Linked DNA regions of Elephas maximus indicus. The protein of the gene in region 1 binds, or shares a complex with, the protein of each later gene. Links are inferred from orthologs where the notes say so. Each region holds a gene or a part of one and is shown in the gene's direction. Other genes may lie near its edges.

Region 1 (3,748 bases):
AATTGGAGGTGCCAGTTGACAGAGAAAACAGTGATTTCAAATAATACCCCTGAGTCATAAGGGCAGGAAGCCTTGAAGTACTATGAATTTGCAATTCAGCTGCTTCTTACATGGGCAACCAAAGTGTTGGTTCAGGGTAAGTAAAACCTACCTACTGCCATCGAGTCGATTCCGACTCATAGCGACCCTGTAAGACAGAGTAGAACTGCCCCACAAAGTATCCAAGGAGCACCTGGCGGATGTGAACTGCCCCAGGGTAAGTAGCAGCAGGGATTCAACTGTAGTTAACTGATTTTCCCACGTCATGTAGGTGTAGCTCAATTATGTGAAACTGTGCATGTGATGTGTATATTTGCAGAAAAATAAGTCTAGCGAGAATACACACCAAAATGTTAACATTCATTCATCCAACACGTGTTACCTATTTCACGCCAGACCCTGGGCTACAAAGAGTCAGAACTAGGGCTGACGGTCTAGCTTGAGACAAACGGGTAAAACCAAGAAGTTATGTTTATTAATTCTGTGTTTTCCACAATGCGAATAAACGCCTTCTTGGCAACAACCAAAAAGGTTTTAGTTTGGAAAGAAAATACCTCTCCTGGTAAAAGGTCAGCCACCGTTCTGAGGGCAGGCTCGAGGCGAAGGGACTATGAGTCCACCCGACCCCCAACTCTGGAAGCCCCTCTGTTCAACTCCCAGGATTCCATACAAGGGAGTATCTTGTATCTCACGGTGCGACCGGCCACAAGACACGCGGCCCGAGACACCCGGAAGTCCAGGCTCCGCGGTCTACTCAAGCTGAGCGTTTCTCATAACACCCGGAAGATAGACAACTGACCAGGAGGAACCACAACCACCTTGGGGGTATCCGCCGGCTCACGGCGATTTGGCTTCACAGACGTAGGAACCACTCCCACTGACCCGTAGCGCCGGAAACGGAAAGTGCTGAGCGGGCTGGCGATTGGGCGCAGAGCCGGAAGTGGAAGCACGGTGCCGGAATTGGTGTTTGGTGGCGCCTGGTATGGGTGAAGCTGCGGCTATTGCGTCCGAATCCCTCGCGGGCAGTAAGGCCCGGGCGGCGCGCACAGTGTTAGGTCAGGTGGTGCTCCCGGGTGAGGAGCTGCTGCTGCCGGAGCAGGAGGACGCAGAAGGCCCTGGCGGTGCTGGGGAACGACTGCTGCGCCTCAACCCCGGGGCGCGTTCGCGGGTGCGCGTAGTGTGCGGCCCGGGCTTGCGGCGCTCTGGGGACCGTCTGCTGGTCACCAAGTGCGGCCGCCTACGTCACAAGGAGCCCGGCGGCGGCGGCGGCGGCGTTTACTGGGTGGACTCACAGCAGAAGCGGGTGAGCTGGGGCTCCGGAGTGATATCCCTATCCAGCGAGAGTGGTATCCCTATCCTGGGGAACTTCCTGGAAGAGAAAAAGGAGGGGACCCTGAAACACCGTCTGTCATTTTGAGATTGTGCCCACCTTCCCATCTCCTTTGAGGGACCGTGAGCAACAGGAACGTGGCCAAAGAAGGGCGATCAGGGGAGAAAGGCGTGTGGAAACCTTAGCATATAAGGGAGATAAGGACTGTGACATATGGCCATTGTCTTCAAAACCCCAAAGGTCAGGGAGCGACACACTTGTTCTTTGAGGCCCCAGAGGACAGAATCAGGCTTGATGAGTGGATATCATCAGGAGTTAAATTTCTCTCAGAATAAGTGAGAACTTTCTCGTAGGCAGAATTGTCGAACAATGGATTGGGCTTCTTTGGTAGTAAGGAACCCTGTGCCACTGGATGTAAGTGCAAGCAGAAGCCGGAGACTTTCTGGTAAGGGTGCTGAAGATGGTATTCAGGTATGGCATACTGGCACCAATTAACAGACTTTTAGAAGCTGCAAGCTTGAGAGAATATGATGTGACTGGTTTTCATTTACTGAAAGTGGTATGTGATAAAGTTTGTTGTAAAGTTTCTATAAATAACTTGAATTGCAAAATATTTTCTAAACATTTTAATGATAATCATAACAAAGTAAACACTAAGGACTTGCTGGAAAAAATTTAATTTGTGGCTGTTCTTTCATGTTTTCTTTTGTAGTATGTCCCAGTGAAAGGAGACCATGTGATTGGCATAGTGACAGCTAAATCTGGAGATATATTCAAAGTTGACGTTGGAGGGAGTGAGCCAGCTTCTTTATCTTACTTGGCATTTGAAGGTGCAACTAAAAGAAACAGACCAAACGTGCAGGTAATGATGGGGGCCTTTGGTTTCAAAAGTATAAAAAAAATAAACCCATTATCTAGAATACAAAAATATCCAGAAGGCTACTGAACTGTTGCCAAAGCGTGACCACTTTTCCTAGTTTTATAGGATGATCTCTCAGGCTTCCAAGAGTTCCTTCAGGTGCTTCAGCTCTTGAACTAGACTACATATGTGTTTTATGTTTGCAACATTTGTTCTTGGAATGTTACATCTCTACTGCATTGAAAGGTTTTATCTGTTATCTCCAGTATCACGGGCATTGACCAAGGTAGTCAGCAATAGGCTCAGAGAGGGAGAATGGACAAGTGGCACAAATTGCCGTATCAGCCATCCATCCATCCTGGTTGTAGGCCCTGGGACAGGCATCTCACGGTGTAGCCATACTGCCCTCTGTCCATCCAAACCAGAAGTTGAGTGGTTTCTTTGCCCCTTCTAACTCCTCGCATGTTCTCAGTTGCTTTATTGTTTCTCTGATCTTCATGTCTACCCCCTTTATCTCAACTTTGCGAGTTCAGGCCTTGCTACCCTTAACTGGCCTTGGTCAGTGACCTCATTAACATCCCTGCCTCCACACTCTCATCCTTCCATCTAGGCTTTTCAGAGCTGACATCCTTACATACTCCCTTTCTCAAAACATGAATGTTCTTCAAAGCCTAAAGAATTCCTTGGCATGACACCCCAGGGGTCTTGCCTCATCCATAATTATATCTTGCATACAGCCATGCTTGAGCCACACCAGAGTATTTGATAGCACCACTAAACCCATAATTTCCTGCCCTTGTACCTTTGCTGATGCTGTGCCCTCTGTCCCTTGTACCTCCGCTCAGGCTTTATCTGTGGGACATGCTCATTCTTCAAAACCCAGCCAAACACCAGATACCTCTGTAAAGCCATCTCCAATCTTGAATCACTTTAACTTTGTTCTAGCACTTACTGGATTCCGGTTTGAATGAAGTTTTTGTTCATATGTACATCCTAACTGCCCCCAAAGACCAAATGTTTCTGAAGGGTAGCAAATGTTTTGTTCATCTGTAGTTCTCAGAGTCAGTGTTTTGTTGAGCAAACAGAACAAGTTCACTGTCTTTCCTCAGTATTATCATTTTGAAGTTCCACTGCATGAGATTTTTAAGTAAACCTTACATGGAGAAATATCAGTGGCTTATCGTTGCTCCAGCTATTTTGCTTGAGCATGCCAGGAATTCCTTCCTCTAGCCATAAACCTTCTGGAATCCTAATAGAACTTTCTGTGATGATGCTAATGTTCTGTACCTTCACTGACAGCCACTGGCCACATGTAGTTATCAAGGACTGAAATGTGGCTAATGCAACTGAGGAACTGAATTATATTTTAATTAACTAAATTTATTAAATTTAAATGTAAGTCTAAATAGGCACATGTAGCTAGCGGCTAACATAAGGAACAGTGGAATCCCAGAGTATGTTGTCTGGCCTTGGCATTGCTCCCGTTTGGGGATTTCCTGGTGTTTTAAAGGGTGAAGGTA
Region 2 (3,748 bases), on another chromosome or scaffold:
GCAGACACTTCCTCTCCGTACCCTTCTCTGACTCACCTCCTGGTTCTCAGTCCCACTGCACCCATTGGTGCTACCATCATAGCTCTAACCACAACGTTCTGTGGTTCCCTCGACCCTCCAGCCTCCCCCTCTGCACAGGGAGCTTCTCTGGGCAGAAGTTGCATTTTACTTGTCTTAGTGTTCCAAAGCTAGAACAAAGCCCATCTGTAGTAGGCTCCCAATAGTTATCTGTGAAATTGTACCGAAGCCAATATCTGAGAAAATCAACCATTCTTTGGATAATCAAGCTGTTAAGGTTTACTTTGGTTTCTGACAACAGAGAAGGAGGTTCCTCAAAAACGGGACACGAGGAAGTCATCAGACCCATTCCTTGTTTCAACCACTTTGAATCAACTTTCCTCCATTTATCCGCATGGCCCCTTTAAAACTTGTACCGTACCGAGTCTGCCCCGCCTTAATGGGCTCCTGTGGTGACCCCAGCTTCACCTTGCAGGTATCCTGTCTGGATATCCAAGGCCCAGAATTCGACTCGGCCACCGCGCGGGGCTGGCTTTTTTACCGGCAGCTGCCATAGCTCCCACGATCACCCCCATCAAGCCGGGACTTCCAGTCCCCTATGGGAAGCGCTGGGGGCGCCCCGGCACTGCGCCCGCGCCAGCGCCGGTTGCCAAGATCCTCCTTACTTTTTTCGGGACAATGCTCCGGCGATCATCCGGGGAAGTGGGCCCTGCAAGGTCCTGGCCCCCCGACCCGTTCGATTCGTCCTCGGAGAGAGGAGGGGGGAGTTTGAGGGACCGGGGGAAGGCGGCGACGATGCCTCGAGATTAGTGACCCCACTCCCCGCCCGGACCCTTCCCACGGAGACCGAGCCGAAGAGAGCTTCATTGCTTCTACTTTTCAACCATTCTAGGAACCAGGGAAAGGGAGGGGCGGGAAGAGTGGGGAGATAGCCCCCCGGGCCAATCACGACGTCCGGCTCCTTTCGGGGTCTGTCAGTTTCCTCTCTCTTACACACACATGACCTGCTACTTCAACTCCAGCTGTGAGCAAACTGCGCCTCGTGCCTCTCCTACTACGAGTCCCCCAGCCCTGGCCCGCGCGCCTATCCTAACCCCAGTTTCTTCACCCCAACCCGAGTTCCCCCTTCTAACTGACCGTGAAGCCGGTGGCAGTTCCCCAGTCCCAGGCCGCCGGGGAGACTCTTGCCGCCGCCGCCGTGGCCACAATTTGCACTCCCCGACACGGGTCCCGGCCTTGGGCTGCGGCGATGGCTCCCCGGCTCCCTGGACTCGGCCAGACACCCGGCGGCGCGCAGGAGAAGCCCATCGAGCTCCCGGCGGCGGCGGCAGCAGCGGCTGCAGGAGCGGCCGCCGCGCTGGCTGATGACGTTCGGGTGCAGGGGGCGCGGCCGCCTGGGGGAGGGGGCGCGGGCGGATGACGTACGGCGAGCAGGGCGACTCTGCAGCATGGCGTCCGTGGCGCTGAGCGAGGCGGAGAAGGTGTACATCGTGCATGGCGTCCAGGTAGTTGCAGCAGCAGGTCGGCCGTAGAGTTACGCTGGCCCTGCGAGCTGCGGCTGGCCCTCGGTTTCCCGGCTGGGGAGGCCCCAGGTTGCCGCGAGTCTGGATTTACCTTGTGATTAAATGGCTCGGATTCTGCATCCCGAAGCCGGCAACGCGGCCGTTTTTAGGACTGGGTGGCGAGCATCCATTTAGGTCTCTTCTCGTACTTGCAGCTTTTCGGGCCTACAAGGTTCTGAACCTGGGTAGGAAGGGGTGGGCGCTCCCAGAGGCCTTTCTTGAGGTCTTTCCTGGGGGAAATACCGCCCCCGGACCATCTCTTCACCCTTTGCGTGACGCTTCGCTTGGCCTAGTCTCAGTTTTTTCTTCTAGGAAATGGGGGGAGGTGTGTTTCTGGCTCTCTTTTTCTCAGCTGGCGGTTTGGTGGCTCAGAGAGAGCACACACCCGCTTTGAAGATATATATTGCCTTACAGATGAAGGAGGGATGTTATGATTTAAAAGGCGGCTTTGCAGCCAGTAGCGTAATTCTTTCTGTTTCCCATTTTGCCATTGGAGAACTAAGATCCCTAAAAACAGCTAGAACCCATTGTCTTTGCTCAGACTTCAACCCCTAGTTTGGACCACTCCAGAAGTAGAGCTGGAGGATGTTGGGCCTGCTAGGAGCTACCCAGCTTCCTTCTCTGGCTCTTGTTATCCTTCCTTCACTCTTGTTATGCCACTGCGCGGCTCTCCCATCCCAGTTCTCCAGCCCACCTATGGCAGAGTTCTGAGGGCAGCTACTGCACCCTCCCTCATGCCCTTTCTCAGCCAAGGCAAACTGCAGTCAGTGGTCCCGTGATGTAGGTAATAGATTAGGCAGCCAGCTATCATTAAAACTCCACAACTGAGTTAAGGCCGTGTCCTTTTTAAAATTGTGGCCTGCTTTTTTTTTTTTATTGTGTGTGCCTGTTACAGAGGAAGTAAACATCAATATTTAGCTGACAGTTTGCTTGTTTGTTGTGTAACAACTCAGCGACACCTGAACCCAAGGTGGGCCACATCTCCAAGAGACTGAAGAAAGACTCCAGAACCAGTCATCGTGACATATGGTTTATTGGGACACTTACTTACAGGACCGTGGCCCAGGGCGGCAGCTGGACTAGTTTAGTGCTCCACAATCACCTAGCATAGGACACGAGCTTATATACCATTCCAGCTGGGTCCAAGGCTCATGGTTTTTCTCCCACGTCCTTGGGCAGTTACCGTTCCCAGGGACTTCACGTCCAGGCCCAGATGTTTTTCTTCTTGTTGCTAAGGCTTTCCTCAGCCTTGGTCACTGGCCTAGTCACACCACTCCTGTCCTTGTACCTCAGCCCAAGTCCATCCTGAATTCATCCCCATCATGCTTTGGGGGAGAGCAAAGCTGACTCCATTAGGACGGTATGCATATAGCTGAATAGGATTACCCTACAATATTAAACCTGAATAATAGAGTCAGAACGTAAAGGTTCATGAACTTTTTAAGATCTACTTCAGGGTCAGCAATAAGGAAATATATGTGTGTGTGTGTGTTACTGAGTGGCGTATGTATGTTATTTGTGTTTGGGAGGTATAAAACCGTTCACAAAGCAATTAGATTTGTCCTTCCCTGTCTTATTTTTGTGCCAACTTCGTTCAGATGATTTTCCTCCTCAAAGGAATGCTTAGGGGAGGCATTAAGGATTATGTTTTATTTCTAAATCTAAAAGCCTTTAGGTTTTTTCCTTTGCTACCACAGCCAGGAAATATTGGTTACACTTTACAGCCAATTCTCTCTCACATTCCATCTCTGACAGTGGCACCAAGGGACATAGGATAGGAAAATAAGTGAGTCCTCCTTGTCTGTAACCTCCCTAGGTTAGAGATGTCTTACAAACATCCTTAGTTCCCATGGCAACTCACTGTCCAACTGCCTATCAGAGACCCACTGAGGCTATAAGCTTTTCTTCCTTATTACTTTAAAATCAGTCAGCACGTCATTTATATTTATTACACACCTGTTATATGTTGGGTGCTGTGGGGAGGGAAAAAAAAAGCTACAGTCTGGCCCCTGAGATACTTAGGATATAGTTCGGGCAACGTTAGTTGGTTTTATTCACCATTTTATACCCAGCCCCCATTGTATTATGTGGGAAACAGTAGGAGTGCCAAAACATACTTGTGAAATAAATAAATGAACAATAGGGGAGAGAGACAGGAAAGATGAATA
Region 3 (3,748 bases), on another chromosome or scaffold:
AAGGCACTAAATCACCATCTGCCTCATAGGGAAGCTGGAAATGGGGGTGGGGAGTAGACAGAGAGGGATAGATTCCAAAGCCACCAGCAGGCAGAGGAAACAGATTAAAAGTCGTGGCAAATCTCATCTGAACAAAGATGCTGCTCTCAGGATATCTGCAATCTCAAGCAGCAGAACTCGGGCGGGCATCAGTAAAGGGCAGCATTTTATTCATTTGCATGACTTCGCTTCCGGACTAACGTGCTGGGAAGAAAACAGAGTGGCAATATCAGAAGCTAAGGATGGGCCCACACGACCAGAGCTCCGCTTGAGAGAATCCGACTGCAGAATCCGAAGCTGCAGTTAGAGAAATCGGGAAGAGGTTTTATTTCTCAAGGAGGACGGCGTGGTCAAAGTGCGATGGGCTGAAAGTTAAAAAAAAAAAAAAAAAAAAAACTCCTGTGTGGACTCTACCTTGAACTATCTCCGAGACTTTGAACAAGTAAAATCCTGTCTCTGGATCTGAATTTCCAAATCCATGAAATGAGCGAGTTGGGTTGCTTGGCCTTCCTGCTCCGCTCGTTACCGCTGCCCGGAGGGTGCGCTTGGCCGAGCCAGCGAAGGGCACGGCCCTGCAGGGCGGAGCAAAGAGAGCAGGAACCCGGGGACTCCACAGGGCTCCAGGAAAGGGCCCCACCTCAGAAAAAGGGACCAGGATGGCGAGCAAGAGCCGCGGCTTTGCTCTTACCTGCCGGCTCTCCGATTAGCTAAATCCAGCCCCGCAGGCTCCGCCGCCCTTCACTGCCAGCCCCTCCAGCTCGGCGCCCAGACTCAATCCGACCCAGCGTGGCCCGCCGGCCGCAACACCAGCGGGGGGACCCGGACCCACAGCCAGCCCATCCTCGACCACAGACAGGCGCAAGCGCAACAGCAGGAGCCCTGGAGCTCCGCCCCGGGACCTGTCTCGGGACAACCTGGGATATGAAGTTTGTCCCTCGAGGAGGGGGTGGGACTCCCGTAGATCACGTGATAACACACACCAATTGGCGCGTTTGTTACTGACGAGCTGTGCCTGGATTTGGCCAATAAGAAGTCGGCCTCGTTTTCATCCGGGCTCTGGGACAGTGGCTGTCATGGCGCCCCCCGTGAGGTACTGCGTCCCGGGTAAGTGAGCTGTCTGCCGAGTTTTGGATTGGGACAGAGGCCGGAGGCTGGACGGCCAACAGCTCCTGGGGGTCTGTGGCTGACGCGGCGCTTCTTCTGCAGGCGAACGTCTGTGTAACTTGGAGGAGGGCAGCCCGGGCAGCGGCACCTACACCCGGCACGGCTACATCTTCTCGTCGCTTGCCGGCTGCCTGACGAAGAGCAGCGAGAACGGCGCGGTAAAGGCGACGGCCTTCCGTCCCCTCGGTCTCTTTCTCTTAGGCTTCCTTTGATTTCGCGGTTCTTAGGCAGGGGCGCTGAGAACGCGTTTTCAGTGCCTCACCAATAGAAAAACTAGGTCTCTGAATTTTTTCCAGCTGTAATCTTCGTTGCTGTGCGCCTGGCCACCCTCGACCAGCTGTGGTGATCTGGCTTTGTTGTGCTGCTAACACTCGGGGTGGGAGGTTGGGGGGAGGAGAGGTGAGCTGACAGTAACCCAGCCCAGGCGTGAGCTGAATGCTGAGTGTCGCCTGGCTTCAACCTTCTTCACTCTCTCCACCCTCGTTCTTTGCGATCTCGTCATATTGGCTTCTTCCAGCGTCGCTAAAGCGTTAAGCTCTCTCCTGCCACAGAGCCTTTATACATGTGCCATCAGTCTGGAACATGCTCCACTCCCTCTTAGCCTAGTTAACACCTATCCTCCTTCCTACCTATTCCCCTCAGCCTAGTTTTTCTTCTCCTACTCTACATACCTATCCTAGTAGTCTCTCAAGTATAATCTCAAAGAAGCCCTCCTGAACCCACTAGTTGGGGAAGAGCGTTTTGTGTCTTCTCGTTTGTCGTTTATTTGTTTTGTTAAACACTCTCAGCTGTATTCCTTTCCTTCCAAGCACTCATTTCAGCTTATAATTAAACAGTCATCTATATATTGCCTACTAGACTCTTAAGTTCCAGGAAAGCAGGCCTCACCATCATTCCCTCAGCACCTAGCACAAGGTAGATGTTCAATAAATGTTTGTTGAATGAATAAGTAGTACTATCCACACTGACCCAAGGCGTGGTGTTTTCATTCGCCTCAAATGCATGTGAAAGCTGCACAGTGAATAAGGAAGACCAAAGAAGAATTGACGCCTTCAAATTATGGTGTTGATGAAGAATATTGAATATACCGTGGACTGCAAGAAAAATGAACAAGTCTGTCTTGGACGAAGTACAACCAGAATACTCCTTGGAAGCACGGATGGCGATACTTTGTCTCACGTGCTTTGGACATGTTATCAGGCAGGATCAGTCCCTGAAGAAGGATATCATGCTTGGTAAAATAGAGGGTCAGTGAAAAAGAGGAGGACCTTGAATGAAATTTGATGGCGCAGGACTGGGCAGTGTTTCCTTCTGTTGTACATAGGGTTGCTGTGAATTGGAACCAACCTGATGGCACCTAACAACAACATCCTCCCTAGTTCCAGAGGCTGATCCAGGATTAGCTCAGGATCAGCTGAGCAATCTTTGAAGGAGCAGCTTAAGACAAGTAGCATAGTAGAAAAAGGATTCAGAATTATAACATGTAGGTACTGACTCAGTAGACCTTGATTCTGCCTCAGTTAAAAGATTTAAACTCTCTGGCATTAGATTCTTCCTCATCTGTGAAATGAGGAGCTTTTTATTCAACCAGTTGTGAAAATATCCTTAACATTCCTTAGTTTGTTCACAGAGGTCTGTTGAGCATTTTCACATGCCAGGCCCAGTGCTAACCTCTGAGGGTCTAGTAATAAACCAAATACAGGTAATCTCTGCCATCAAAGGGGCAGAAACATGAATTGTAAACAAATGCCCAAATGAGTATATGGCTGCAAGCGTGTGAGTGCTTTCAAAGAATATTACAGAGTACCATGAGGACCTATAGCAGACAAACCCAGCTTAGTCAACAGAAGTAACATTTAAGCTGAACCTAAAGGGTAAGTGGGAGTTGGGTAGATGGGAGAGGATAGTACTGACAGAACAGAGCTCCTGAGTGAAAGGAAATTTAGTGAGTTGAAGAAAGTGAAAGAAGGCCAGGAAAGCTGAAGCATAGTGAGCAAGGGGGAGATTGTTAAAAAATGAGGGAGCAAGTGCCAATACCATGCTCAAAGAGAAAACTCTGGAATTATTCCCTTAAAAGAGAGCAAGTATGGCCACTATTAAATAACATTGATTTGGAAATTCTAGCCTGTGCAAAAAAGTAAACAGAAAGAAGTAATAAAATTTTGGAGGAGCCAAATCATCAGTGATCATAGGCAATATGGTTGTTTACCTAGACGATCTAAGAGAATCACCAAAAAAACTTATTAGAACTAATTCGAAATTGTTACAGGATGTTTTCTGGCAGCATTCTTCCCATGACCCCTTGGTTCTCCCATCTTGGTCCTCCCATTTCCTATAAATGGGTTATAAATCAATCCATGGTAGACCTGCCCTGGTGACCTTAACTGGGACCGAGGGATTCCTTTAGTATTCCCAAGCCACAAATAACTTTACTTAGAGCTTAGCCAGGATTCCCATTTTTTATTCTCTCTGTAGCTTCCTGTGGTATCTGTGAGGAGAGAGACAGAATCTCAGTTACTGCCAGATGTGGGGGCTGTTGTAACCT

What was found.
Region 2: EXOSC3 (region 1) and EXOSC7 share a complex: the UniProt entries of both Homo sapiens proteins name them as parts of the RNA exosome core complex. The link is inferred for Elephas maximus indicus from reciprocal best matches to the Homo sapiens genes EXOSC3 and EXOSC7.
Region 3: EXOSC3 (region 1) and EXOSC1 share a complex: the UniProt entries of both Homo sapiens proteins name them as parts of the RNA exosome core complex. The link is inferred for Elephas maximus indicus from reciprocal best matches to the Homo sapiens genes EXOSC3 and EXOSC1.

The regions. Positions count from the first base shown.
Region 1 is NC_064827.1:46,654,371-46,658,118, reverse strand, and holds the start of EXOSC3 (exosome complex component RRP40), read left to right. Parts: upstream 1-957; 5' UTR 958-1,021; coding exon 1,022-1,342; intron 1,343-2,081; coding exon 2,082-2,231; intron 2,232-3,748. UniProt on the Homo sapiens protein: Non-catalytic component of the RNA exosome complex which has 3'->5' exoribonuclease activity and participates in a multitude of cellular RNA processing and degradation events.
Region 2 is NC_064838.1:49,288,482-49,292,229, forward strand, and holds the start of EXOSC7 (exosome complex component RRP42), read left to right. Parts: upstream 1-1,444; 5' UTR 1,445-1,466; coding exon 1,467-1,523; intron 1,524-3,748. UniProt on the Homo sapiens protein: Non-catalytic component of the RNA exosome complex which has 3'->5' exoribonuclease activity and participates in a multitude of cellular RNA processing and degradation events.
Region 3 is NC_064834.1:49,202,374-49,206,121, reverse strand, and holds the start of EXOSC1 (exosome complex component CSL4), read left to right. Parts: upstream 1-1,058; 5' UTR 1,059-1,112; coding exon 1,113-1,143; intron 1,144-1,245; coding exon 1,246-1,361; intron 1,362-3,678; coding exon 3,679-3,748. UniProt on the Homo sapiens protein: Non-catalytic component of the RNA exosome complex which has 3'->5' exoribonuclease activity and participates in a multitude of cellular RNA processing and degradation events.